2 linked regions of the Caenorhabditis elegans genome follow. The protein of the gene in region 2 interacts with the protein of the main gene of each other region in a pairwise test. Each region holds a gene or a part of one and is shown on either strand. Other genes may lie near its edges.

Region 1 (2,624 bases), on a different chromosome or scaffold from region 2:
AAATTTTCAATTTTGCCGGTTCACCGATTTTCCGGAAATTTCAATTCCGGCAATTTTCTGATTAGTCGGAAATTTCAATCCTCCGGCAATTTTGCCGATTTGCCAGAAATTTCAATTCAGGCAATTTTCCAATTTGTCGGAAGTTTCAATTCCCGCAATTTTCCGATTTGCCGGAAATTTTAATTCCGGCAACAGTTTTATATGACCTCTTTCTTATTATTTGGTTTTTTAATTTAATAATAAAGAACAAAACACAAATTCGAAAAATACAAATTATTTATTTTTACACAACAATAAATAGACAACACACTTAAATGGTCATATCCCGGTTGTTTTAAGATTTATCGAAAAACTACCAACAAACAAAATATTGCTGATGCCTTTTTCAATAATTTTGTAGTTGAACACTTTTCGATATCACTTATTTAAACCAAGATATAGGATACCAAAAATGAAATAGAATACAATTAAACTAAAAACAAATATTTACATTTAAAAATTCAAGCTCCATTCGAATAAGTTTCTCTCGGCGAGTTCTCACAATCATAGATCCCGCGACGACGATTGCGGTATGGTTCCCACGTTCCATTTCTTCCATACGGATGCCATCGTCTCCCATGACGCTGCTCCCACTCGGCAAGCCCATCTCGACAACGGCATGGCGAGGAGTCACTGGAATTGGTTGATGATTTAGAACTCACCGAGTCATCGGAAGAAGAGGACGAGGAAGAATCATCAGAGTCATCAGAAGAGTCGTCAGACGAAGTGTTCGGAGGTTTCACCGACTTTCTCTTCGATCTCTGTTTACGAGCTCGTCGAGCTCGTGGAGCTGGAGATTCAGAGATCGGAAGTTCCGAAGAACGTGGATATTGACACCCTTGGGTGTCTCTACGATCTTGAGAAGTTAACGTGGAAACCGTGGAGTCGGAATATCTATCTTCATCGTCCTTATCTGAAAGTTCAGATTCTGAACTATCAGATGACGAGTCGAAGAATCCGTCTCCAAGAGGAAGTGGACGAGTGCTGAGCTTTCTCATTGTAAATGAGATGCTCTTCAAGGTGAGAGGTGCTGGTTTTATAGGTGGGTTTTGTTGACGAATAGTTTCGAATTATTTCGAAGAGTTTCGAAATTAGTCATGACTTTGATAAGGTGGGCAAATATTGATGACGATATGTGTGTAGTATTGCCAAATTTGAGGAGAACTCCTTGCCGTTTGATCTCCGAAAATTGGGGTCACACAGAACATTTCTGGAAGTACATAGAAGTCTATGTTTCCCGCAATTTTCAGAGGTCAAAAAGTAAGGAATTTGCAAATTTTTTTGCAAATTTTTTTTCCGGCAAATCGGAAAATTGCCGGAATTGAAAATTTCCGGCAAATCGGCAAATTGCGGAATTGAAATTTTCCGGCAAACTTGAAAGTTACCGGAATTGGACATTTTCGGCATACCGGCAAAGTGACAAAATTTAAAATTTCCGACAAATCATCAAATTGCCGGAATTGGAGTTGTGGCATACCGGCAAATTGACGGAATTGAAATTTCCGGTAAATCGTAAAATTGCCGGAATTGAAATTTCCGGCAAAACTGGGGCAATTACATAACTCTAGAAGGAGAACATTTTTGAATTCATAGCTCTTATATCTCTATAGTAAAATTTATGCTATAAATTTATATAAAAAACGTCCTAAAATTGTATTTTGCGCAGCAGGACCCATCTTTGTCGTGCTTTAAAGTTTCAAAAATAGAAACTCATTATTGACACACGAATTTATTTTTAAAAAAATACAAATAATAATAAATTTTATATTTAATTTGCATACTACAAAAACAAGTAATTTTTATCAAAAATTGCAAAATTCCGGTAGTCAAGTTAGTTCGTATGGGGTGGTTGAGAATTGATAACCCATACGATCCGGACCGCAGGAATTCGAAAACTGTTGGGGAGGAGGAAGTATATATACTAGAGGCAATGCAAGCGGTGGACGTTTCTCGAGGAATGGTGGTGGGTTTCTCTGGGTCTCTAGTAGTGTACAAAATGCGCTCCACCGCAATTCGATAATTAGGAGACTGTGTCAAACAACTTTATGTAAGGTGTAATTTTTTGGGTAAAAAATTGACTAATGATTTGAAAAAATCTATTTTAAAAAATCTGCATTTCAAGCCTATATATACGAAATCTTATTTTGTTTCTGTAATTTTTATTATTTTTCGAATTTAATTGAAAAATGCCTAACTAAAATTAAACGTTTCTTTCTAATCAACTTGCCCACCAAATTCCAACAATGCAAAACAGGAAGTCAAGTTGTTGCCGATGGGGTGGTTTCTTCAGATAACCCACCGACTCCGGACCTATGCCTGATAAAAAACCTTCTATCAACAGAGTATATATACCAACGGTCTGTTAAGTGGACGACGGTGTGTTGATAAGTGGCGTTTCAATGGAGCGCACTTGCAATAGTTGTGAAATCAGTTAAAATTTTGCGCTAGTAATTCAAATCCACATATATTATACATACATTACTTTATTTTTACACAATTAATACAGGCATAGTTTTGCACTCGATTGAACTTGTCCGGGATTCTTCTAGGCCGCCGCCGGCGCCACCCCCTTGTTCGGGCACATT
Region 2 (3,987 bases):
TTCAAATTGAAGGTGGGTTCACTGGTTTTTGAATCTTTCCCGTAAGACAACAGTTCTCATTGATGAGTAAGAGTATACCTCACTGCACGGTGAAAGAAGATGTGGAATAGATAAGACGTAAATTGCGTTGAAGGTCTCTGTATAGTTGCGCACCACACCACGCATCTGTTGTTCCTAATTCTGTTTTGATAGAATGGGGTTTGAAAGGTTTCGGGATAGGAAGAATGAAGATGTACATGTACTTCCTCGAAAATCGGAAGTGAAGACAACAAAAATGAAGATCAAACAACAGTCGGATGTGTTCCGCGACACCAATTCTAATTGATATGGATGTTTGTACAAAATACCAGTTACAGTTTCAGAAACATCAGGAAAAATTACAGATACTATTGTAATAAACATTTTTGTAAAATTCTACATATGAATTAATGAAAAGAATGAATAGAACCTGGCCTTATATGTAGTTTAGAATTGTAAATTTATCATGCTAATTATTTTTCTGAATCTCCTTTGTAATTTAAGGCAAATACCAGGCACTTTCAAGTTAAGTAACACGATTATCAGCCTGTTTTGCCTGCATGTTTACGCGCCCTGCATATTCGATCCTAGGCTGTTGTGAAGCGAGAGCCAACCGCATCAGCTCCGAGCCTCCGAGCCCACCGCCGCTGGTCATTGATTTAGAACAAGTCTGCAGCGGTCGTCAAAGTAGCCCCCAAAGCGCTGCCGCATTGTTTGAATTTGCTCCAAGTTTCCAGAAACATCCAGGAACATGCAAGAATCATCATTTAACTTTGAAAACGGCAAGCTTCTGTAGTCACATTTTCAAATTTTCAGACCATACATTACTCAAGATAATTTGAAGGTAAATTATGGCCCAAAGAGTTATGGTGAGCGCTCTTTCTATTTGAATAACAGAGCGACTTCAAATGACGACCGAGCGCCTGGTGGGTGGGCAAAAGGCAGCCCCCTAGAAGCCTCCGCATGTCCGATGTTTTCGTCCTATTTTCTGCACAAAAATATTCAAAGTTCAAGATTTTAGGCCGAGTTTCTAGTCAACTAAAAGCCCGGAAAAAGACGAACCCGAATATCTAATTTTCATCTAATATATCTGAAATTATGTTGACTTCCTTCAAAGAAGAAATGTGGTGCGCGCTCTTGTTGACACATTGCGAAAGAGACCCTTTATGAGTCGTAGGAGGCGGCGGTTTTCTGTTGGCAGCCCCCTCGAATCACTCCGCAATTGTGTGTTTGTAGCGCGCCAAACGGCTCTTTTTAAACACAGATATCAAAACTTATATTTTCTTCACTTTAGCTGATGAAACAGACTTTCCCCTCTCAGAATATATAATTTTTATTCTGAAATTCGCAGTTTGAATGGTTTTTACAGACCCTAAAATGATGGTGCGCGCTCCTTTCGGCAGATAGGGAGAGACGCACAGAAAACGAGAGGGAGGGCTGGGAGGGGTGCCGCTCACTCTGTTCAACATTACTCGCTCGACAACGTCCTTCTCGTTTCTTCTTGATGCATTGTGTATACTTCTACAAGGGCTCATACGCCTCGTGTTAGAAGAGATGAAAATGTCCCATCAGTTTCATATCATATAAGAATACGGAAAGGAGCCATTCTTTGCTTTCTTCAAACAATCTTCATTTGTTTACCGCCCTCTTTCTTCTCTTTCTCATTTGACCTTTTTGTATCAAACTCTTTATATTCTCGTTTTTCAGTGACTCATCCACTTCAAGCAACTAAATCAACTATGTCTGACGGAAAGGAAGAGCTCGTGAACCGCGCCAAGCTTGCCGAGCAGGTATGTAGATGTCTCAGGATGTTCTTGAATACTAAAACTTTAATTTCAGGCTGAGCGTTACGACGACATGGCCGCATCCATGAAGAAGGTCACCGAGCTGGGAGCTGAGCTCTCCAACGAGGAGCGCAATCTTCTCTCCGTTGCCTACAAGAACGTCGTCGGAGCCCGTCGTTCTTCATGGAGAGTCATCTCTTCAATTGAGCAGAAGACCGAAGGATCTGAGAAGAAGCAACAAATGGCCAAGGAATACCGTGAGAAGGTTGAGAAGGAGCTCCGCGACATCTGCCAAGACGTTCTCAACTTGCTCGACAAGTTCCTCATTCCAAAGGCTGGAGCCGCCGAGTCCAAGGTCTTCTACCTCAAGATGAAGGGAGACTACTACCGTTACCTCGCTGAGGTCGCCTCCGGAGACGACAGAAACTGTAAGTGATTGAAAATGATGACTGTAATTGGGACATAACCGTGCACTCGTTTCTAACCCTCATTCGTAAGCTATGCATCCTTGTGTGAAGTGTGGAAAGATATCATAGGGAAGACAGAGAACGGGAGTTCAGGCGCGACCCAATTCCACATCGATGCGTAGTTTTTGAAAATAAACTCTAGGGCAGCTCATTGGGGGTTCTCCTCTAGGGAGTTCTGCCTCTCATAGTCATACTCGTTTCAAAGAAGACCAGAAATGAATATTCCTTCTTTGCAGCGGTTGTCGAGAAGTCGCAGCAAAGCTACCAAGAGGCGTTCGACATTGCCAAGGATAAGATGCAACCAACTCACCCAATCCGCCTGGGACTTGCTCTCAACTTCTCTGTCTTCTTCTATGAGATCTTGAACGCCCCGGACAAGGCTTGCCAGCTTGCCAAGCAGGTGTGTTAATGTTTTTATTTTATTTTAGCAGTAGCCAACATTGGACAAACGGCTTACGCGGAGGCACTTGAAATTGCAAATAAAGATCTGTCACCAACGAACTGTGTTCGCCTTGGTCTTGCACTCAATTATTCGGTGTTTTTTTATGAAGTAGCAGCAAGCCCGGATAGAGCATGCCAGCTTTCCAAGCAGGTGCTCGTTAAGTTTTTGACATAGCATCGTAACTTCAAAGCTATTGATTACCTTTAATCTTTCAGGCTTTCGATGACGCCATCGCTGAGCTCGACACCCTCAACGAGGACTCATACAAGGACTCTACCCTCATCATGCAGCTTCTCCGTGACAACTTGACTCTCTGGACCTCGGACGCTGCCACCGATGACACTGATGCCAACGAGACAGAGGGAGGCAACTAACTCCTTCACACCGACACGTTACCGCCACACACCCCTCACCTCGATCTTGAAAATGATAAATAATACTATTTGTCATATGATTTATTTATTACCATTGACTAGTTAAACCATCGTTTTTCTTTCCATTTTTTTCTATAAATTCATCAATCACTCCCCTTTTCCCATCAACCAAATGCAGAAGTTATTCAAATTTCTGTGCTGAGCCCACTCATCAAAACTTCCCGTCTCTACCCATACAATTCAATGTTCCGTTTTGTTACGGCTTTTCCCCCTTTCAAATCTCGACATTCGAAACACCCCCAAGCTTTTGAATACACATAATAAAGTTGTAACACCAACTTCAATATGAGAAATTAACGCAGATAATCACGTCGAAGAAATATTAAGAGGGGAGGATTCCGATTGACATCCAAATGTATAAAAATTAGTGCAATTGAACAAAGTTCGAATGAGAAAAGAAAACTGAAACGAACGTTTTCTTTTAGCGACATCTTGTTATTGCAGGTTGTTCTTCCTTAACCAAGATAACTACTACGTCTTAGGCACTTGCTAAGGTTCAATTCAAAATTTATTTCATTTATTATAGATATGAACAAAGATGAAAACTAGAATTTAATGTTCATATTCATTGAGGAATAAGAAAAGGTGGAGTCCTGGATTAAATCTCCGGTACATGACACTTTCATAGGTTTATTTCTAGTTAAATTGGCTTTACAGATATAGCAAAATTTTGGTTAGTGACATACTTGAAAACTACTTATTTGGACGGGTAGGTTTCATTTGCAACGCCAGGTGGCGGCGCCAGCTAACAACCAAAAAATTGGGGTTTTTACAGCCGATAATATAAGGAGTGGTAATTGGTACACTGGTAATTGAGATAGTTCTATGCAGAAAGAGCAGGG

The links. The genes of interacting proteins can lie anywhere in the genome.
Region 1: the proteins of ftt-2 (region 2) and F08G2.5 interact in a two-hybrid assay, tested with the Caenorhabditis elegans proteins (one large-scale study listed by BioGRID).

Annotation. Positions count from the first base shown.
Region 1 is NC_003280.10:13,832,595-13,835,218, forward strand, and holds F08G2.5 (WW domain-containing protein), read right to left. Parts: upstream 1,038-2,624; coding exon 501-1,037; downstream 1-500. Other genes in the region: ins-37 (INSulin related), read right to left, coding at 2,518-2,624.
Region 2 is NC_003284.9:11,603,151-11,607,137, reverse strand, and holds ftt-2 (14-3-3 domain-containing protein), read left to right. Parts: upstream 1-1,718; 5' UTR 1,719-1,757; coding exon 1,758-1,808; intron 1,809-1,857; coding exon 1,858-2,230; intron 2,231-2,505; coding exon of another isoform or gene 2,506-2,669; intron 2,670-2,697; coding exon 2,698-2,861; intron 2,862-2,926; coding exon 2,927-3,085; 3' UTR 3,086-3,430; downstream 3,431-3,987. UniProt on the Caenorhabditis elegans protein: Required for extension of lifespan by sir-2.1. Required to modulate lifespan, in concert with hcf-1, acting redundantly with 14-3-3-like protein par-5. Promotes nuclear export of yap-1.